3 linked regions of the Alligator mississippiensis genome follow. The protein of the gene in region 1 binds, or shares a complex with, the protein of each later gene. Links are inferred from orthologs where the notes say so. Each region holds a gene or a part of one and is shown in the gene's direction. Other genes may lie near its edges.

Region 1 (7,470 bases):
AAAAAAAAAAAGAAAGAAATAAGACAGATCTCTCTCTCTCTCCCTCTCAGCAAAGGAGTCATTCAGTAATGCTTGGTGCCACTAGGTCATTGGGGCACATGAATAACATTTGTCTTTTTTGCTACCCGATGAACATCTCAATTCCCATTGCTATACTTACTATAGTCCAGCTCTGGCCTACTGCCTTCTCTCTGTTGGTATGCTTTTTGCCACACAAGATGCAACTTCCCACCTGTAATGGGATAGCTTGATCCTACAGTTTTGTTCAATTGCTCACCATTAATCAATAGCCACCCTCAATACCAGCTCTCATTTCACTATGCTCTGACCACAGGGAGTGAAGCATAGATCTGTGGCGAAGAGTCCTATATTTTTAAGAAGACCAAAGTAAAGACCAAGCCTGTTGCATTAAATTTAGGGATGCACTGCAAAGTTTTCTTTGGCCAATACCAATGGCCAATTATTAATCAGCCATATCAGCCGATAAGGATCCAACTGCCGATATGCAGCCTGGCAGCTTGGAGAGCAGGACCAGTAAGTCTGTGGGGGAAGGAGCATGGAGGGTGCAGATCAAGGTCCCACAGCGAAGGAAGGAGTGGGACCGGGGCAGAGGCACGGGCAAGCGCGGAACGGAGCCGCCTGCCTCCATGCCCCCTGTGCACTGTCCCACCTCAGCTGGGCAATGCCTACCTCTGACCCTGCCCCAGCTCCTACCCCATTCCCTGTCTCATTGTGGGGGCCTCAATCTGCCAGCCCTCGATTCTACACAGCCCCCACTTTTTGGCACTCCAGAATTTGACACTGATGCCAGCAGGACATATAGACCATAAGAATTGAGCTTTATTGTCATGCTACCTCCCCATCTGCTGGGACTCAAGGATGCAAGTTCACCAAGACTGGACCTTTATCGCCCTCACTCTGAGGTGTCCTGGAGAGAGCAAGCCAGGGACCAGACCAAGGACTCTACAATCTTTCAGGACTGTGACTTGCTTTCCTGCTGCTAGGCACAATGCTGTGTACCCTTTCCTTTTTTTTTTGTCTTCTTTTTAGTAAGTATGGCCTTGCCAGCCAAAACTGTCTCTCTGAAACACTGTTGTGACCTCAAAACCAGAGACAACTAAAAGCAGTCTATGAGTACCAAATAGCTTGGTACTCATACAAATTTGCCTAGCCCTCAAGTGGCTGATAAACCATAAGCTGTGTCTGTCAGTTACTAGCAGCAAAACTGCAAGTAAGGCAAAATGCACTTTCTGGTGCTAGCTATCTTTGCTGCTCTACTCTTTCCCTTTTTGCTTATGTCTTGCTCATCTTTAAAGAAGCAGGCTCAGACTCCAACAGATTCAGTCCAGCACAACTTAAGCTTCTCTTTTCCCCTAAGAAGAGTAGTTAATACTATATTCAATATAATCTAAAAGACTGTCAAACCAGAGGCGGGAAGAGTTCCTTTAAAAAAAAACACCTGTCTCTGAAGATCAAGGAGACTTCCTGGGTTACTGAGTCCAGTTCCCTGCTTTTGCAGGCAATAATTCTATTAAAAAGCTACTTTAAACCCTCAGATCAACTACAGGGTACAATATGTGCAATGCTAAGAATACCCTATAACCTATTGTAAGTAAAAGCAGAGGAGACTAGGGTTCTCCCCAGACCTTGCCACAAAGATATAAAAGTGATTAGTTAATGTAGGCTGAGAGGATCCTTGGAATCAAGCTCTAAGCTACAGAAGGCACACCACACACATATATGCATAGAGATGCATGAACACACTCTGTCCCAATCTGACCTAAGGGAAAAACTGCTTTCTGAGTCTAAATTAGGAGATCAATATACATCTGAGCAAAAGAATAAAACTCTGTGGCTTTTTTTAAATAACAACAGAAGCATCAGTGCACCTGACTCAAACCCGCACCTCAGCTGTAGCCAACGTTCCAGTGTTCAGATAAATGCAAGGAAAACAAAAATGAAGCCAAGAGCATTTACAAGGAGAATGGGGGGTGAGAACTTTCCTGGCTGAACTGGCAATTAGCAAAACCCACGAAATGCACCTGCCACACTGCAAAAAGAGGCATTTCAACATGGGCACTGCAAACACAAGTCACACCAACTGATTGAGTCACAACTCCCTATCCTATTATGTCAACCATCCATAAAGTTTTCCAGCTCAATCTTGAAGGGATTCAAGTACTTTTCCCCCAATCATCACTGCCTGCTTACAGATGTAAAAAACAAAAAGACCCCCCAAAACAGCACTTCAAATTCACAGCGCCCCTGCACTGAGCACAGCACATGCTCAGAAGAGGCATTGCATTAGTTTGCCCCAGATTGCCCAATGTCTGTATAAATTGGGCACTCTGGTGGGTTTTTTTCTGGTGCTTTTATCTACTAGCTGATTGAATCCTTCTAGCTGTTAGATAAAAGTGCCGAAAAGCCCTGCTGAAGTGCACAATCCATACAGGTGCTACAGAGCCAGATTGAACTAACACGCTGCTTCTTCACATAAAGCACTGGGTTTTTATTCACGTCTCAGCAGCCACTTTGCTTGGAAAGCTGTTTCTAAACATGACTTAAGTCATTTCTCTGCTTGTTTGTTTTAATGACAAAGGATAAATATATTCTTTATTCTCTCTCTCTCCCCCCTCCCATCCATCCTTCTCATCTACTGAGAAACAAGGTCTTCAGACAAGATTTACATGACACAGAGAGAGAATTTGAAGACCAGCTCACAAGTATGCCTCTGTTGTGATACTCTACACACTTCTAGGGACACTGCATCAATTTTCTCCCTTGAAAAATTATTCTATTGCTTAAATCACCTTTGCTATTAGAAAGTGTTTCCCCACCTCTTAAAAAACAAATCCCTTTTCTGTAGCCTAAGGTGTTCCATTCATTCTTATAAGCACCTACTCTACTGTTCATCTGCTGCTGCCATGCGCATAACATATTTCATTTCATTTTCAGGTGTTCCTCCCTAGTAAATAACCCGGGTCTGCTCCTGCTTTTCAGTTTCATGAAAACGGAATTGACCTGATTGTTTTCAGTTTCACTGCTGCCCACTCAGAAAACCAGGACACTGGAAGACTGCAAGGCAACTGTCAAGATTTTGGTCACTTTTACTCTGCTGAAGCTTGTGAGCACTGCCTTTACTCAGAGCAAAGGCAGTGGGGTTGTGACTCACTGGCAGGCAGAAAGAAAGCACTGCATCTGCTTAATGCTGGCTTGTTTGGAAGGAAAATTTAGGCTTTAGGTTTTAAGGAGCCATGTGAGGACCCCTTAGCCAGCTCTGAACTCAGCTGGAAGAGTCCCGCACGCTCCCTTTGGGTAGAAACTTTCCGACAGCTGCCCAGAGCTTCTGCAAAGCACAAACTTTTTCTTAAACACATGTGCCACAAGCAGCCATACACCACATGGGCCACAGCAGGAGGACCCCCAAACTGTACTGCACAAGTAAGTAATCCCCACCTTGCTACACCATGTGTGTGGGCAGCTCCCCCACGGATTGTGCACCCCGCTGCGGGCTCCCTGCTACACTGACTGCCAGCTGCACCGCCTGCCCCCTGGGATGTGCAGGCTGCAAAAGCCAGAGGGCGACAGGAAGCCCAGAGCCAGGAGCTGTGCAGGGAACGGTGACAGGGTGGGAGCCTGGGGGGGCTGCAGCTTAACCCATCACCGGCTTCATGGTTTAAAATAACAAAGGACTTTTCTCACAATAAATCAGCGGGGGCCAACCACTCTGCTAGGCAGGCCTCAAATTAGCTCTGTGGTCTCCCCAAGTACCACTCCCCTCCCCCCGTCTGACCTACTGCTCCGCTTTCTGCTCCCTGCCCAACCTGTCACACGCCACTCAGGCGGCGCAGGGCGGCCATCCCCACACGAAGCCAGGCCGCCCCACTTCACCCGGCAGCTCACGCTCCGCAGAAGCGACCGGCAACCGCAGACCCTCGCGCTCCACGGAGGTGAGCGGGAGTTTCCCGCGGGAGTCCAGAGCCGCCAAGGGCTCCGCGCGACATCTTCGAGGCGGCACTGAACTCCGAGGGGACGCTCCCACCCAAAGGCGCGGCGGCGCTCACCGCTCCAGACGCGAGTCCCCTCAGATGACGATGACGACAACGAAGCCTCTCAGCTTTGCCTCTTTTGTGCCTGCGAAAAAAATAACAGAGCTGCTTTTCTGCCTCGGGTGCCAGAGTCCTGTGGGACACCCGCCCTGGCAGCCCCGTCTGCACCACTGAGGGGGAGCCCAACGCACCCCGGGGTGCCACGAAGGCCCTCAACTGTTGCCTGCGGGGCCTGGCCGGGGGGCAGTGGCGGGGGCTGGGGAAGGGGCTACGACCCTCCCTTCCCTTCCCTTCCCTTCCCTCCCCCAGCACCCACCTGCGGCCCGGCCCAGGCCCGCGCCCGCGCCGGCAGGCCCCGCCTCGTCCGCTCACGTGACACCGCTCACGTGACGGGAGGCCCGGCCCGGCTCGGCCCGGCCGCGGAGGCCGCTGCGAGCGGTGAGTGCGGGACGGGTGACGGTTGGAGGCGGTTGGGGGGTCAGGGCACGGCGGTTGGTGGGGGCGGGGCTACACCGGGGCGGGCGAGGAAAGGTCTTGGCCCCAAATTGGGCTGCCCCAGGACGAGCTGCCCTGGGGGTCGCTGCTCCCTGGGGGGGGACCGGGCATGTGGCGGGCGGGCGGGCGGGGAAGGTCTTCTGACTGAGACACGCGTGTGTGTGAAGCGCCTCCCCGAACAGGCTGTCGCCCGAAAAGGCGCGTGTCCCAGGCCTCTTGCCCCTTTCACGGGGCCGGGCAGCGGGGCTTGTGAATTGGGACCTGCCCGTGCAAACTGGAGCAGGCGTGGTCTGTGCCAACTGTGAACTCGGAAGAAACATTTTAGGAACTGACTGAAAATACAACCCTGGATGGAGTGAGACCGGCGGCGGGCAAAACGCAGGCTGGATGTGGAGGGACTTTGGTGCTGTTGGGCCCGTGGCGCGTGTCCCGCCACCCCGGGGCGTGCAGTGTGGCTGGCGTGGCTCCTTCTGGTTACTGCCACCAGCCGCAGGGAGACGGGCAGGGACCAGTGTGCGCAGCCCCGACCCCAGCCCACCCCGCACCCTCTGTGCACCTGCGCCGGCCGGAGCAGACCAGCCAGGACCCATGCGTGCAGCTCCAGCTCGCCTGCCCGCCCGCCCACGAAGAGCAGCAGTGGCGGCCTGGTGCTGGGCACCAGGTGTGGGTCCAGGCGGCCGCAGCAAGACGGTCCCGGCAGCAGAGAGTGGGGGGCGGCTGCTTTTCCCCCATCCTCAGTAGCCGCTTCTGCGGGGATGCTGCTGTCCATCATAGGTGGGCCGGTCTGGAGCAGGTGTGGGGTGGGCCGGGGCTGTGCACATTTGTGAGCTGGCCTGGAGCTGGTCCGCTCTGGCTGGGACGGGGCCGGGAACGGGGCTGTGCGCTTGGTTTCTGGCTGGTTTGGAGCAGGTCCGCTCCAGCCAGGGTGAGTTCAGAGCAGGCGTGGGGTGGGCTGGGGCCAGGACTGTGCTTAGCAGCTAGCAGACACTGTTGGTGGTGGCAGTGGCAGGGAGGAACTGCAGGGCCCATGGACTCTGGCTTTGGTGAGCTGTTGGGGGTGGGTGCTGACCAGCCTCCAACAGCTCCTCAAAACTGCCTATGCGGCCTGTGGGTCCAAATAATTGCCCACCCCAAGCTAAACTGTTCTCGGTGATGGCAGATGACAGAACAAGGAGCAATGGTCTCAAGTTGCAGCAAGGGCAGTTTAGGTTAGATATAAGGAAAAACTTTCGTGCCGGAAAGGTAGTACGGCACTGGAACAGGTTACCCAGAGACATGCTGGACTTTCCACCCTTGGAGGTTTTTAAGACCTGGCTTGACAAAGCCTTGGTTGGGATGATATAGTTGGATGGTCCTGCTTTGAACAGAGGGTTGGGTCAAGGGTCCCAAACTTTTTAGATTGAGGACTGGCAAACTGCGGACTGGAAGTCGCCGCAGACCGGCAGCCAACCCTTTTTTATGCTGAATCCGCCACATGCCGGTCACTTCCAGTCCGCAGTCACTTCCAGTGACACCGTGCAGGGCCCCACGGCAAGAACTTCTAACCGGAACAACCGTAAAGACACTTGCACCCAGCGGGCGGGAGGGAGGGAGCAAACCTCAAACGCAGCAGCCACTGCCGCAAGATAGGATGGGCCAGCCCTCCTGCATACCAGCATCCAACCCTTTGCGGCCCAGCACCGGGTCATGGCCTGGGGCTTGAAAACCCCTGGACTAGATGACCTCCTGAGGTCCCTGCCAACCCTAATTTTCTATGATTCTGTGAAAAGCTCAAGTTTCTCCAGCCAGTTAGTCTTAAAGGTGCCACCCTGCTCTGCCTTCTGCCTGACTTCAGACTACCACTCCCACAGCTGACTTTCTGGAAAGAAAGAAAAGTGGAAGTGACTTTGTGTATTTCCCATTGACTGAGCTGAGAGACAAATGAAGGGAAAACAAATGAGTTAGGGCTGAATTTGGTAATGCCTGTATTTTTATTTTGGCAAAGTACTTAGTCATGTTAGTCTGAAGTCAGGCAGAACACAAGGTAGACTTGTACCATATAGAATAGCTATTCAAATATGCTGTGTAGCATCTGAAAAAGTGAGCTGTTGCTTATGAAGGCTTATGCATCTCTTTAAGGTGTAATTTTGTTCTTCCTTCTGCATTTTGATTTGTTATTCCTGAAATAATGCCAAAAAAATGTTATTTGAGCAGACGTTCTGCTCTATAATTTATTTAAAATTCTAGCAACAATTGCAGATTAGGTTTCCAGAGAGCTGGTTTTTGTTTCCAGCTCTGCCATAGATTTGCTGTGAGATCTCAGACAAGTCGTATAACCTCCCTGTGGCTCAGCTAATTTATCTGTACTATAGAATAATTGTGGTTACCCAGCGTGTTAATAAGGGTTGTACAGTAAATCATCTCTGTCAACTATGATGGAAAGAGATTGTGTCATGCTTTTTTTTGTTTTACTGGGTAAAATAAGATTTCTGATTTGAAGAGAGATTACTGACATGTTACCTTATCTATAATACGGAAGTTTGGGATAAACAGATACTGGTTTGGTAATAAACAAAGGGCCCTGAACTGCATTCAGTTTCCATACACTCCAAGTGTTTAACCACATTGACGAACTGTCATGGTGCACTATGAAAATAGTTTCTATGCTCATCCTTTACAGTTTCTAAACTCATCTTGTACAGTACCAACTTTGTAATGGTGTTCGGAATAGATAGACTCAACTTTATAAGCGTCTGAGACTATTTTGTCCTTTAGCAGTTGTTCTAAAATCTTTTGGTATTGGAAGTTGTGCAGCTGTTTCTCATAAGCTGATGATGCTAGCTAAGTGTTTTGTACACACTGAAAATAGACTACATCGTGTTTTATTTATAAGCCATCTACTCTGAGATTCTGGAGGACACAGAGTTCTAATACAGTAGCTTTTCCA
Region 2 (7,210 bases), on another chromosome or scaffold:
TCGAGATGGATTCCTTGAGGATCTGCACCCTTGTGTGCCTCCCATCCAGCCCCATGGACTTGTACACATCCAGCTTTTCTAAACAGTCCCTAACCTGTTCTTTTGCCACTGTTGACTGCTCCCCTCCTCCCCAAACTGTGCTGCCCAATGCAGTAGTCTAAGAACTAACTTTGCCCATGAAGACTGAGGAAAAATAGGTATTGAGTATATCAGCATTTTGTGCATCCTCTGTCACAAGGTTCCTCCCCCATTCAGTAAGGGACCCACACTTTCCCTGATCCTTCTCTTGCTATCAACATACTTGTCAAAACCCTTCTTGTCACCCTTCATATCCCTTGCTAACTTCAATTTCAATTGCACTTTGGCCAGTGGCGTACCGTGGGTCTCCTGCACCCGGGGGCCAATTCTTACATTTGCACCCCCTCCCTCCCCAGTCCACGGCCAATCACCGAGTGAGGAGGGGGATCCCCCAGGGGTCAATCACCAAGCCTGGAAACCGGAAGTGCCGGTGCGGGGCCAAGTTGCCTCGACCCCCACCCAGCCAGCACCCAAGGACATGCCCCGCCCCCCGTCAGTACACCACTGGCTTTTCTCTTCCTGACTTCATCCCTGCATGCCCAAGCAATGCTTTTATATTCTTCACTAGTTATTTGTCCAAGTCTCCACTTCTTAGAAGCTTCCTTTTTGTGATTTAGTTTACTGAAGAGTACCCTCCTAAGCCAAGCTGGTCTGTCATACTTGCTAGTCTTCCTGTACATCAGGATGGTTTGTTCCTGCACTCTCAGTAAGGCTTCTTTAGAGTGCAGCCTAGACTCCTCTTCCCCTCAGACTGGCTTCCCAGGGGATTCTGCCCAGGAGTTCCCTGAGCGAGTTGAAGATGCTTTTCTGAAGTCCAGAGTCCTTATTCTGCTGCTCTCCATCTTTCCTTTCTTCAGGACCCTGAACTCAATCATCTTGTGGTCACTGCTGCCCAAGTTGCCATCCACTACTACATTCCTTATCAATTCTTCCCTGTTCGTGAGCAGCGGGTCAAGAAGAGCACAGCCCTACTTGGCCGCTTCAGTACTTGCACCCGGAAGTTGACCCCAACACTCTCCAAAAACTTCCTAGAGTGCCTGTGCACTGCTGTATTGCCCTCCCAGCAGATGTCAGGGTGATTGAAGTCCCCCATGAGAACCAGGGCTTGTGATCAGGAAACTTCTGCTAGCTGTTTGAAGAAAGCCTCATCCACCACTTCTTCCTGGTCTGTTGGTCTATAGCAGACCCCCAACACAACATCACCCTTGTTGCTCTCTCCTCTTACCCTAACCCAGAGGCTTTCAACAGGCCTATCTCCAGTTTCATACTGGATCTGTGAAGAATCATATGGCTCTTTCACATACAGCGCAACTCCTGCTCCTCTTCTCCCCTGCCTGTCCTTCCTGAACAGTTTGTACCCATCCACAAGTATCTTACATATAAATTGACAAATGGGCCACAGAAAAAAAATCATTACATCTGTCAGTCAAAAGATATGAAAGACAAAGACTGAATCTGCCTTCGTGAAACACAGATCTGTGAAATGCCAAATATATCTGAGAAAAATAAACCACCACTACCATAGAATTGATTCTTGCCATGGAAGTCCAAAACATGAGAGCAGTAAAATTTTTGTAATTTTCCAGATTATATAGACTTTGCTGCAAATGGCTTGGGAAATGGACATCCTCTAATTTCAGGAAAGGAATGTTTTATTTTTCTGAGTCTTTGTACCAGGAATTGGTCATTAAATGTTCACAGAATATCTAGGTTTTCCAAGGTCAGAAAAGGTCATTGTGATAATTTCGTCTGAACTCCTGTATAACACAAACCAGAAAATTCCACCCGGTAAGCCCTGTATTGCTCGGGCTGAGTTCTACCAGATCTTCTTAAACTCTTCAGGTTGATGATTTCTTATGCAAAGTCATGACCCCCTTTAATTTATGATAAAAGTAAAAGTAAAAAGTATGTCAGTGAGAACAGTGAATTTATACAATTTATCTGGGCAAGGTTGTTTCAAATAAATTTGTTCAAGGGCAAGTGTGTAGGAAGTACAGGAGTGAGATTTTCTTTACATTAAGTTGCAGCATTTTTTTTTCCAAGACCTCATGGCCTATCTGACTTTCTTCAAGAGTTGTGACCACTGGTTGAGAAACCATAAGCTACAGCAGGGGTGTCAAACTCAACCTGTGCCACAGGCTGAATGTGGATCCATGGGACAAGTGGTGGATGTGGCAGGGCTGGAGGCAGCAGCAACACAACCAACAGTTGCAGAGGTGATGGGGCAAATGGCCCTTTGTGACAATTAAGGACAGTGCAAGTGGTGGTGACAGTGGACCAACTGACTGGGGGGCAGTGTCAGCACAGCCCTCCCTCACCCATATCCAACAGCGCCCCCAATTCTGTTGTAGGCCCTACTCCCCACTAACCACGTCCTCAAATACTCTGGCCTGTCTCTAGACAGATGGAACAGTTCTTTGGGCCAGACCTGTCCTGCAGGCTGGATGACTGACACTCCTGAATTAGAAAGACATCCCATCTTGATTTGAAACCTTTGTGATGGAAATTGTTCCAAACATTAATTAAACTTCACTTTTAAAAATGTGCACCTTATTTCCACTTCCAAGTTGTCTGGCTTTGACCTTCATCCTCCAGATCTTGTTACAACTTTGCTAAATTTAAGAGATGTCTGCTTTCAGACATCTCCTGCCTGATGACTACAATCAAGTCTCCTCTTAGCCTGATTTTGGATAAAACAGACCAAGCTTCTTGAGCCCTTTCTCCAAGGCAGTTCTCCAAGACATCAGAGCATTCTGACAATTCTTTCCTGAACTCTTCTTCTATTTTCAACCCTTTTAAAACGTGGAGACAGCAAAACTGGCCAGAACGTGCCAGTAACCATTACACTGACACTATACAGGAAGACAACACCACCTTTCTGCTACAGCTTAAAACTCCTCTGTTTAGGCATTCAAGGAATAGTGCATGAGGGTGTTCATTGCAGAACTACAGTGGGGGCTGGTGTTCACAAGTTATCTGAGCCCTTGAGCCCTGTCATTGCTCCTCAGGATGCAGCTCCACCCACGGGTGGATCTAGAATTTGGAACCGGGGTGAGCTGTGTCTTCACACATAAAGCAATACATATTTTCCACCAATTAAACTAGAAGCTTTACTAATGTGCTAGGAGCCCAGGGCTGCAGTATTCAGTTTAAGATTACAGTGAAAACAAATATAATTTCATTCAAATGAGTTAAAAACAATCTGCAGGGCTGTGAAATAGGAGCTTCCGGACAATGAGCAGATAACAGCAGAAGTGCAGAACAAAGGATTCAGAGATTCAGAGATGTTAGGGGCTGGAAGGGACCTCATGAGATCACCCGATCCAGCTCCCCCACACTTGGGCAGGAAGGCCTGCTGGGGTCATCACTTAACTGGTGGAACATCAAGACCATTAAAAAGAAGAAAGCAACCTTAACACTGGTGGCATGAAGAGTTTAGAAGGGTAGATTATGATGGGTATATGATGTATTTATTATTATTATTATTATTATTATTGAAAGGGTAAGTTATACCGAGCCACGAAGTCATTGACTCCCTCAGCGCTACCTGACTAGGCATGCTACTGCCACTGCCAAAAGGAATCAAAGGTCCTGGCAGAGGTGATATCTTTTGTTAGACCAACTAGATATTTGCACCAAAAAAAATTTTTTTTAATCTTTATTTGCAAGCTTTCAACACATTTGGGGTGGAGCAGGAATCAAAGGGGGTTGTAACGCACCCCCTGGATCTGCCTCTGCCCCCCTCCCCTCAGCCCTGCTGGCTTCACTGAAGCACCCCCTGGGGGAAAAGCGGGGGAATAAGAGGCAAGGGTTTGTTAAGGTGGCATCTTTTATTGAAACAACCAAATACCGCAAATCGAGTCGGAAAAACAAGCCCTGTCCTTAATCTCAGCCCCTTCAAGAGGTGGAGACACCGGAAGTGGACGCAGGTGGCTTTTAACCACGCCTGCTTGGAGGGGCGCCTGGGCGGAACTACCACTCCCATGATGCATTCCTCTAGCGGCTCCCTCCCGCGCATGCGCAGAGCAGGGTCGACCCAGTGGAGTCGGTTTTGCTTCCGGCAGGCGGAGGTCAGAGGCTGGAAGTCGTTTCTGGCCTCTGCCCCGGGGGATGGACGAGGACGGGCTGCCCCTGGTGGGCTCCGGCATCGACCTCACCAAGGTGCGGGCTCGAAACGCAAGTGTTCGTGGGCTGAAGCCCACTTCATCAGATGCTGCAGCGGGAGGTGCTCTTCTGCTCGAAACTGAGCAGGTTTCCCCATGTAGACTTTCGGGTGCAGACCATTTCAGGTGGCTGCGCCTGGGGTCCTCTGCGGGCAGGGCCTTGGTAGTCCGAAGGCAGGCAGGAGGCAGGGTAGATCAGGCACCTTGTAGGCTATGGGAAGCTCGTGCTGTAGCTGTCTGTGTGTTGTGGATAGCCTGTGAGGTGCCAGCGTACTCTGCCTTCTGCTCTCCTGCCTGAAAGACTAACCAAAGTGGGTGGACGGATGTGGAGATATCTGTGTGTATATCGCAAGCTTTTGTGGACTGAAGCTCACTTCATCAAAGCTGTGACAAGAGGTGCTCAAAGCTGAGCAGTGTAGATATTCGCAGGAGTTCAGGGCTGGAAGGGACCTGGTGACATCAGCGGGTGCAGCCCCTGCCCCGGGGAGTCCACCTGCTGTGCCTGGTGCCGTCTGTGAGCAGGGGAGTGTTGGTCTGCAGTCCAGGAGAAGGCAGGGTAGATCAGGCACCTTATAGACTAGCCAAAGTAGGTAGATAGAGATAGTACAAGCTATGAACTTCTACAGTTAAGAGGAGGATATTAACTGATCTGTTGATCTTGGAGTTCAAAGTGTAAGGGGCCGAACAAGGTGGTAGTTAAGAAATTCTCTTTAAAGAATCACTTTTGCAAAACATGCTTTCTCTTTCCCAAATGCCTCTTTTCTTTTCTACCTCTGAGCAGTTTTGGCACAAAAAGAGCTGTCAGCAGTAAGTCCTCTGCTGCAAAAGCAGAATGCAGCAGAATACTTCATCTATTAATACTTTCCATGTAAAATTTTACTGTTTAACAAAGTAGTATTTCTCAAGTCGGTGTAGCTTTTATTTAATTTCAGGGTTCCTTATGAACTGCGAAACAGAATGCAGAACAGTTCAGATTGATTGTGGGATCCAGTCATCTCCCAGGTGTTCCTGGGAGGTGTTAAACCCAAGAGAAATATAAATATTTGCTATCCAATTTTTTTGTGAAATTGCTTGGGTTGTGGGTAACACAATGCTAAACAGAACTACAAAAGTGGAGGAGTAACTGAATAGGTGATTCCTATATTTGTCTTACACTTTTCAACTTGTTAAATGTGGACTGCTTATGGAACCACCACTATTTTTGCAATAGTCTTAGATGAGATTGGGACATAATCATAGTATTTTGATTCAGCTTTGTGTTCATATTCTCTCATTTTTACCCAAAGGTTGAGACTTTACAATATTGTTTATATTGCAGTAGCATTTGCAGGTCCAAATCAAAGCCTTATTGTACCAGATGCTGTACATCTAAGAAAAACAGAAATTCAGTGCCTCAGAAACTTCCCATTTTGGGCCTAAGTAAACATTTGCATGAATAGTTAATCCTTCTCAAAATACATAGAACCAAATGGTTCACAAGGTTAGGTTTCTTAGCCCCCTGCGAAGTGGCTGGGATTATATACAGCTGCTGCAAACAGCAGCGTGGGACTGCTGCAGTACTCCAGCTGTGGGCCATGTCTTTTATTTGAAGGGGTACTGCTTCTCTCGTCATCTGCTTGGGACTGTTGATGAGGTCTAGCTGTGTGGAGAAGTGGCACCCTTTAATATAAAAGCTGCAGCAAGCAGCTGCACGTGTGTCCTTCACTTAGCCTTCTGACAGTCAAGTTGCTATCTGATGAAATGATGAGCTCTTGCTCACACAAGCTTATACAGTATAAACTCATAAATCCGACGTGCTTGGGGTTGAGCACTTGCTGGAAATTTGAAAACGCTGGATTTTTTTGAACTGGCGTGATAGCCGGTCGCGGAGCAGGGGCGAGGGTAGCGGCAGCTGGTCCCAGAGCAGCGGCCACACATGGAGCAGTGGCACACTGTGGTGAACGGCGGAAGCAGCCACCATCTACAGACTTCTCCCTCCATGTCCAGGAGGGTGGTGGGCAGTGCCAGATTTTTGATCATTCCAGATTTTTGGTATCCAGATTTATGAGCTTATACTGTACTTCTGTCATTCAGTTAGTTTATACAAGTGATTTTCAACCAGGTACCACAGCACCCTGGGGTGCCTTGAGATCCTTTCAAGGGTGCTGTGAGGTGCCACACAGCACTGCTAGGTGTGCAAGCATGCTTCACAGTATAAACCCAGAGATTTCGAACAGGAATCCATAGTATTAAAACAGTTCTGCCCTGCTGTGGTCTTTCAGAGTTCTTTGTAACAGTAGAATTGATCTACTGTTTTTCTGCATTGAAAAAATGAGTGAAAAATAAGAGATGGCATTTTCTGAAGGTGCCTTGTGTCTAACTAACAAAGTGCATCTCTACCCTGCCTTCTGCCTGAGTTCAAACTAACATGGCTAACAACTGCTTTCTATTCCCAATTGTAACTAGATACTAGTTTATGTAAATGTACTTAATTTCCCCAGTACTAAGACCCAAAGGGAGAGACCCTGATCCACTTCCTTTTAGAGTTAGATTTTTATTTTACTGTGTTTTACGATGACTTTCAGAAAATTGCTTTTAGGTTAAAACATTCTCTTTTGTGATGAAAACCTCTTTGTTTATTCAGGTGGTATTCCCTTGTCTCTACACTCACACTTAGAAGATTAAAATATTGATTGATTTTTTTTTTTTCATGTTCCTATATTCATGGTATAGTTAGGACAAATGATTAAAATATTTTCTTAGCCTCTTTCATATAAACTTCAAAATCGGGTCTTGAATACAAGGGTAAGAATTGGAAATGCATGTTTTCTGCGTGTAAACTTTGGGGTTTTTTTTGTTTTGTGTAACATAGGTTCCAGCTATTCAGCAGAAAAGAACTGTGGCATTTCTGAACCAGTTTGTGGTTCATACAGTACAGTTTCTTAACCGGTTTTCTACTGTTTGTGAAGAGGTATGTTCATATTGCATCA
Region 3 (8,089 bases), on another chromosome or scaffold:
GTGGGAAGGAGTGACCCCGTTTTGCATCAGTGTTAGTTGTTTGGGTGTCCTCAGTGGTGCAGATGTGTATTTATGAGCACCTGTGGCACCTTTTAAAATTTTGTTTTATTTCCTGACAAATATGACACATTGTTTAGTGTTGTGTGATCCCACTATTATGGAAGCATGTACTGAGAAATACTATGCATTAAAGGGAAATGCTACCTATCCAAAACTGATTAGGGAACAGAACTAGGAAGAGCTCCCCATTTATTGTAAGCCATTCTTATGTCTGTTACCGTATGGGGAAAATTAGTGTTGGGCCTGAATCAAAGCCTGAGGTCCAAACATCCCTGACTATCAGGCTAGTTCAGTTCCAAACCTCAGATCTGAAGAAATTTCAAATTGCAGGGAATTCTGCAGTTAAAGCTGATCTGTTTTCTGGCTTTGGCCTGACCCTGTGCAAAGGTGAGAATCAGCTTGTTACAATTTGGCAAGTGGTATTCAACAGATCAGGAGAAACTTGAGTCACCTCCAAAAAATACATGTACCTGCACACACCCAAAGTTCTGCTTACCTTCCTTTTCCACACCTTCTTTTCAGTTGCTGGAGTTCTCTTATTAAAACTTGGTGCAACGTATAACAATAGCACTTGGCACTTTTCAGGCTGAAGATCTCATAGGATACAAGAAAGTAGGACTGAAAGGGAATTTAGTCCAGTACCCTGCTCAAGGAAAATTGTCCCTAACTAAACCATCCCAGCCAAGTGTTGGTGCAATCTACGCTTGAAAATTTCCAAAGATGGAGATTCTTCATGGTCAGAACTCAAAGGTTGATCAATATTATTCATATTTTTCAGCTGAGAAAACAGAAGTATGTATTACTTGCTGAATGTGGCTGTGTTTGCTAAGGGACATTGCAGCACCAGAAAGAACAAATTAAACAAGGTGCTCAGCTATTTGATATTTTTTACCTAGGAAAAAACTTCCTAGATTAAGGGTACAGTTTCACAAAAATGAAAAATTGTCCAAATGAATTGCAAGTGTTGTTTTTTAAACATGAGTTTATGTCTATGATAGAAGTATAAATGAATGATGGATTTCTGTATAGATATCAGTAGTGAGTCAAGCTTACAGGGGGAAAAAGCCCAGTCTATTGTAAGTACTCTGGACTCTGTGAAAGTGTTTAAATATTACTGTAATGGAGACTCCAGCAGACAGACTAAGACCTGTAGATAATTATATAGCGAGAGCTTTGAAAGTACTGAAAAAGCATGGGGAAATCTAAGTGCCCCTTTAGCTTCTCCAGATCAGCCACTTGCGCCCAGTTAGGCTTCTGTTTCTGACAAGCCACAGCAGGCAAAGCATAAGGACAGCCAACTTGGAGAATCAGGCCAAACATCTGGTTTTGTTAAACAGGTTAAGGGCACTCTGCCACTAGCAGTGAGATGGCTGAAAAAGCATGTCACAATGCACTGTGTTAGGTGCTATTTACAGCTCCCCAAATTACAAATAGTAGGCCTGCTCTTCTTGTGTCCTGTGGGTGTCATCTTGTGCAGTAGCTGACTGAACGCCAGCCCAGACATACTCTCTAGCCTACAGACAATGCCCTTTCAGGGATGTGATGCATGGTTTGGCAAATTAGCTAGACCTACCTCCTTGCACTCTAGAAAAAGTAGGCCCTGTTGATTGCACAGGGAGAGGGAGCTCTCTATATCTTACCTATTTTATGAAACAATGGGCAGTACTATGCCCTTAATCAGGGAAAAGAACAATATACTATCCAATTTTTATTTTGTTTACTCAAATTTGCCAATGCGGAGTACTGGCAGGAAGAATGAAGCCTGTAGCTGGATTAATCAGCTCTCTGTACCAGTTTATGTAACTGGGTCCTGTCCTCAGGAGCATTAAACAGTCAAAGAAAATTGTTCTGGAGAGATATGGATTTTTATCCATTGTTTCACTGGCTGAGAGTGATGCCACTCTATCTGCTGACAAATTGTGTGGGTAGAGAGATGAAGTAAGACAGATGTGAGCCCTGTCAGCTTGCTTTTTTAGCTGAATTAAATGCTGGTAAAACAGCTGCTTTTCTCATTTGCCTCAAGATTTTTTTAATGGCCCAGTCCAAACATATCTTCCAGTTCCCTGAGCCTTGTCTCCAGGGGGTAGGTTTTTGATACATAATCAGTAGTGGAGATAAATATATTATTACTTCCTACCTGCCACCAGTGTTTTACTGGGATTATGCCAATCCTGCTACCAGTTCTTAGTAGACCCCAGTCTTACTGCTCTCTTGCCCCCCCCCCCCCCCCCCCCCCCCGGGCATACTGGGGTTCTCAGTCTTCATTTTATCAGCCCAATTCTGTTAATTCTTTCTCTGCCATCTGCCTGCAGCAGGTCTGTTACTACCTTTCTTCTCTCATTCTCTGTGGGGCTGCCCCAACCCAGCACCCACCTCCTCTCTCTTTGCTTTGAATTTCCAGAGTGTATTGAATTGAATTTTTATCTGAGTAATTGTAAAGCACTTGAAGGGCTTTCCATCAGCAGTATATAAATAAAAATGGATCAGAATAGATTGGATTGCTGCTTCTACATCCGCTCCCCTATTCTGTTTCTGACAGGTCTTGACACCCACACACATGCTCCTTGCTCAGATTCTGCTAGGTCTTATTGCTTTCCTTCTCTGCATAGTTTCTGGCAGACTTTTACATTTCTCATAACTTCTTCGTCTCCGAGATTTTCACCCAGTCTCACCCTGTGCCCTATCTCCTTGTCCTTTCAGTACCCTTTAAGCTCTACACAGGTCAGTGGCCTGGTCCCCTCATTAAGACTTCACAGGCACCAGCACTGCACTTAACCTCTCGTGGGCTCATGAAATGTTAGGCTGCTGGCTGCTAATTTGCTTTGCAATTTCATCATATTTAATAATGCTCTCTGCCTTAGCCTGCAACAAATGTTCATGACAATGGTTCCTACCGCAAATGAGTGGAACAGTGTGAAAAATGTGCAGTAAGTAATTTATGTAATGAATTTAGCCTTTTCCCTGTGAATATGCATGAGCAGATCATGATTTCCTTAAATATATTCACAATTTGAAATTATTTGAGTAATCCGTGTGTGTGGGGGGGGGGGTGTTGCTTTCTGTGCATTGGCTTTAAATCTATGCATCAACCATTCTTGGTAGTACTTAATCTTTGCTATTCAAATAGCACTGATTAAGTTGTAACCAGTTAGATAAGACGCATGGAATTGTTTCTGATCCTAGATGTGCATGCAGACACCTCTGGCAGGATGACTTGCACATGGACCCTCAAACTTCATTATGATTAATATTTGCACATACCGCTTTGAGATTCAGTTTTCAAGAATGTTTGTGCCAGCAAACACTGTTTGCTCAGATAGGTTTCCTTTCTGTGTCTATGTGAAAAGGGAGCAAGCATAACCAATGAAAACTCATTAAAATATTTGAACAAATGTTCATCACTTTTAAAAGGCAGTATAATATCACCCAGGTCCATTGGTGGGAGATGAGGCAAAGGCACAAGCCAGATATTCCTTCTTTCTCATCTTTCCCCAAAGCTGAGACAGAGAGAAGCAGAAAGGCATCCAGAAGCAAGGTTGGCAATGTAAACACAAAGGATGGCTATAGGCATGATGACCATATTATTTTAAAGAAAACCAAGTGAAAGAGTGGCATGGTGTGCCAGGCAGGTTGCTGCTGTGCTGGAGCAAGATGGGCAAACTGGAGCAGTGCCCAGCCTGGCCTGCTCCCCTACCTCTAGCTGACCCCCTGCACCTCCAGATGCTGCTCAGGAGCCAAGCAGGGAACGTGTGGGCCGGGTGGTACCTGAGGCAGTCTGCACACCTTGCTCCTGCACAGTAGCAACAATGCCTGCCTACCTTCCTTCTGGACTGCACCGCATGCCCAAGCCTGCAGCAGCGCTGCTGACCTGGGTGGAGGAGGGAGGAAAGGGGTTCCAAAGTACAAGTTCACCCAGGGCACCCTTTTCCCTAAGGCTGGCTCTGCTGCTGTATACTCATGCTCAGTAGAGTCAGCAGAGAAAGAAGCAATCATGTTAGGTGGCCGATTCCAGGACTTTCGTTTCAATTTCACCAACCGGCTGGGATGCCAAGAGGACCTACAAAATACAGCACTGTCCCAGCCAAACTGGGATGTATGGCTACCCTAGTTATAAGGGACGTCCTGTCAAGGTAGAAGCTGTCAGCCTGAGGGTTGCAACCAGGCCAAGGGGACCGTGACCTCCTTCCCTTTCGTTACAGCTAAGCAGAAGGGTGTTACGATAGGGAAGCATGGGCAGGTGACTCTTCTCCACAACAAGAGCTCTGCCAGCAAAACTCCCGAGTTCTGGCTCAAAGCCAGTCTGCGGTGGCACAGCCTCTCTGCAGCACAGAGCGAGGCTTCCGCTGCCACCATGTAGATAGATACTCCTGGACTGGGTACCAGCTATTCCAGAGGTCACGGTGCAAAGCAGAGCTGCACTGTGTGCCATGAGCGTGCAGAGGTGCACAGGCAGTTTGGCAGAACTTTTGCCAGCAGTTGGTATGGCCACGGTGCACCTCGAGGCACGCATCAGCAGCATTCCCAAGTTGTGGAGGAAGGCAGCAGGTGGGACGCGCGGCTCTGGAGCACAGTGTGGTCCTCTCAGGCCCTTCAAGGTGTTAGCACTAGGAGCAGCCATAGCACTTGCTGCATGGGCTCAGTACAGTAAATATTGCCACAAAACCCATAAGACCCTTGCTCCCTGCAGGGGCCAGCTCGTGAATGCTGGCAACACTGCTGGGGGGGGGGGGGGAGGGGGGGCGATGCAGCTGCCCAGGGCAAAGAGCCCCAGCCTGCCCCATGCTCCCACTAGCAAGCTGCCCCCTCCCCTGGCAGAATAGCCCAGCAACCGCCAAGCCGCCGCGTTCCAAATCACGCCTGCGCACTGCGGGACGCTGCCTGCCTGTAGAGGAGGGAACCGTTCTAGAACGAAGCGGGACCTAGGCGCAAACGGAAGTGATGCCAAGTAGGGGCGGAAGTGATGCTTCATTGGGGCGGAAGTGAATGAACGCCGGAGGGGGTAGCTTCCCCGCCGGGTCCTGGGGCGAGCAGCGGGGGAGGGGGCGTGTCCCGCCCGTGGCAGGTGAGGCGCTGCGAGAGGAGGTGCGGCGCTGCGTTCCCCCGGGCGGCTGGGCCCCCTGCGCTGCGGGGGGCGCCCTGGCCCGGCCGCTGCCTGTTGCTGCCGCCGGTGTAAGACCCCGTGGCAGGATGAGCAGGTGTGCACACGTGTGCGCGTGTGCCCCCGCGTGCGCACACGCGCATGTCTGAGCACCCGTGGGTGCGTGTGTGCACGAGCATGTTTGTGGGTATGCGTGGGTGCGTGAGAACATGCACATGTGTGCGAGCATGCGTGGGTTCATGTGTGCACACGCCTGGGTGTGTGGTGGCGCGCATGCCTGTGGGCACTTGTGGGCATACGTCAGGCCCATGTACGGCTGCCCTGGCTCCTTGTTCACGCAGTCATCCTGTGCCCGTGCTCCTTCATGCCACGTAGGTTCATGAAGGGCCAGCTCTCAGGCTGCAGCAGTGACCTTCATGCTAGGAGACCAGTGCCCTGCTTCTGCCTGGGCAGGTGGCGTTGGCGCTCTGCGTCCTGGTCTCTCCCTCTGCAAGCGGGAGGGGTTGAGGGTCTCAGTGCCTGTGCCCCTTGCTCTGATGGAAGAGCGAGGGAGCGATGTGGCAGCAATACTGGGACACTGCAGCGAAGGGAGGATGCCTTCCAAGCTAGCAGGTCCAGGCGGTCTTCAAGGACAGGTGGATGATAACGCTGCCTCAGTGCCGCCTGGGCTCATGCCTGCCTCCAGGCTGGAAGGCTTTTCTTTACAACCCTTGAAACTAGAGTCTCATTCTAGGAAGGGGAGACATAGAGGTTGAGAATGCGAATCCGGTTAAGTGCCTCAGACTGACCCGGTGCCTGGCACCGCTGCATTCAGCAGGCTTTTGGCCTTCTCCCCAGAGCCATAGGCACTATCATCTCCTGCACAGTGATCACATTTCCTTGGGGATAGGGAACATTTTGAAGGGACTTTCCAGCACAAAAGGTGCCACAGAACTAAAACATTACCTCCCTGTTGGATCTGAGGCAAGCAAAGAGCTATGGACAGGGCACTAGGAGTGTATTTAACAAACTGTTTTAAGCTCTAACATGTCTTACATAGAATCAAAATGCCTTCTAGCTGTGATAGACTTGGCATATCTATGATTTCTTTGAGCCTTAGAGATGCCTGGTAATATGAAATAGTGCTAAGATTCATTCAGTGTAACCTGTTTGGTTGGATGACCAATTTTGAACATGCTTTGTTACATCCCATTTTTCATTCCTTAGAAATGAATTGTGAAGTCTACTGTTTTAAACCCTATAGTGGGTGCAATGCGGTGTCACAGCTTTGAGTTGGAGTTTGTGTGTGGGAAGTGAGGCTTTTGCGGAACCCCTGGAATGAGGAAAGCTGAAGGGTATTTGTATTGTGATTTGTGTATGTTCATCATAGTAGAGAAGGAAATCGATCTGAAACAGGTTGTCAGGAATGCAGTCTACCAAGGAAAAGCCCAGAAGGGTGGGAGGTAGAGAGGGACAAGGGAAGGGACTGCAGGCTGTGAGCTAGTTAAGTTGTCATTATCCAGAAAGTCAGATGCTAGTTTGCATTAGCATTGTGATGTATAATTTTCCAGAATAGTTATTCATCTGTATGTCAAGCAGTTGCTCCTAACCAGTCAGCTAATAGGAAGAATGCCACTAGATTATGCAAAACTTAACTTTTATTTCTGCATTGCATCAAAATAATTAATTCTTATTCAACACACACACACACACACACACACACACACGTTACAATACAAATTTTGATGTTAAATGTGCATTGTGCTTAAAGGACTATTTCAAACCATTGACTAAAATACACACTGCTCTTGTCACGGTTAGCTGTGGAGGGGCAATTATTTGTCAAATAAAAATGCATTGGTAATGTTTGTAAAATGAACACAAATGCTGTTGTGGTGAAATACATTTATTGTACTAAAATTCTCTGATGTTCAAAATGAAGAATGAGTCAGCCAACGGTGATAAAATTGCAGTGGTATTGAACCTGGCTGTGTATGCAGAGGGGCACTGCTGACCAGCATAATGAATACTGTAAAAAAAAAAAAAAAAAAAAAAGGGCTGTCGAGTCTTAGTACTAAGCACAGTCCATCATCTCCCTCCTCTCCACGTGCACAAACCTTTCGTGATGAGGTTTTATAAAGTGACTTAAATGCTGAGCACTTTTACAATGCTTGAGCCTTTCCTGGCAGAATAGTTGGTATGTTCAGTGCCGTTATCTCTCCTACAGCACTGCAATTGTTCTTCAAATAGTAAAACTTGTGTACTTTAAGGAAGAATAAGCTGGTTCTCCCAACCCATTTGTCTTTTTGCTGTACCAACCAAGGTTCCCATTGGCGCATGCTGTCATTGTGCTTCACATGATGTAAATGTTCCTCAGCTACAGGCTGGAGTGAGACCACAAGCCCCTAGGCAGACAAAGTTCTTTGGGTAAATCCAATATCTTTTATTAGCCCACTCAAATAGTTGGAAAAATTCTTCTTAGCAAGCTTTTAGGCACAAAAGCCCTTTGTCAGGTTGAGGAAGCGTCTGCCCCTTTCACTTAGACTGCCTGGCAGCCATCATTGGTAATGACTTGGAGTCTTGGTGAAAGTGTCTTGAAAAAAGGGAAACTGAGAGGCTCTGTATCTGTTTCAACTCCTTGAAACATTTGGTCTTCCAAGAGCGCAGGGATTGCTCTGGAACAGACTAGAAATCATTTCCTTGGCCCCCTGCAAGGTCTAGAAGCAAACTAACTTTGGTGTCTCCTTCAAGAAACTTACTGCATTGTCGTGTCCCTTTGCATGGATTTTGTTCTGGTATTACTAGCCTCTCATGCTCTGCTTCAGCTGTTGTGATTTGGAAAGGATGACCGGGGGTCTTTCAGTCTGCTTGATATGATATGTGTTTAATTATGTTTGGTCATTTCCTTCAACTTGTTTGGGAAGCAGAAAGAGCTAACTTGCTTGCTCTTTG

What was found.
Region 2: WASHC5 (region 1) and WASHC3 share a complex: the UniProt entries of both Homo sapiens proteins name them as parts of the WASH core complex. The link is inferred for Alligator mississippiensis from reciprocal best matches to the Homo sapiens genes WASHC5 and WASHC3.
Region 3: WASHC5 (region 1) and WASHC1 share a complex: the UniProt entries of both Homo sapiens proteins name them as parts of the WASH core complex. The link is inferred for Alligator mississippiensis from reciprocal best matches to the Homo sapiens genes WASHC5 and WASHC1.

Annotation. Positions count from the first base shown.
Region 1 is NC_081826.1:19,248,444-19,255,913, forward strand, and holds the start of WASHC5 (WASH complex subunit 5), read left to right. Parts: upstream 1-4,427; 5' UTR 4,428-4,487; intron 4,488-7,470. UniProt on the Homo sapiens protein: Acts as a component of the WASH core complex that functions as a nucleation-promoting factor (NPF) at the surface of endosomes, where it recruits and activates the Arp2/3 complex to induce actin polymerization, playing a key role in the fission of tubules that serve as transport intermediates during endosome sorting.
Region 2 is NC_081827.1:107,401,267-107,408,476, forward strand, and holds the start of WASHC3 (WASH complex subunit 3), read left to right. Parts: upstream 1-4,128; 5' UTR 4,129-4,188; coding exon 4,189-4,239; intron 4,240-7,092; coding exon 7,093-7,191; intron 7,192-7,210. UniProt on the Homo sapiens protein: Acts as a component of the WASH core complex that functions as a nucleation-promoting factor (NPF) at the surface of endosomes, where it recruits and activates the Arp2/3 complex to induce actin polymerization, playing a key role in the fission of tubules that serve as transport intermediates during endosome sorting.
Region 3 is NC_081827.1:115,294,760-115,302,848, reverse strand, and holds the start of WASHC1 (WASH complex subunit 1), read left to right. Parts: upstream 1-5,016; 5' UTR 5,017-5,043; coding exon 5,044-5,122; intron 5,123-5,141; exon of another isoform or gene 5,142-5,255; intron 5,256-8,089. UniProt on the Homo sapiens protein: Acts as a component of the WASH core complex that functions as a nucleation-promoting factor (NPF) at the surface of endosomes, where it recruits and activates the Arp2/3 complex to induce actin polymerization, playing a key role in the fission of tubules that serve as transport intermediates during endosome sorting.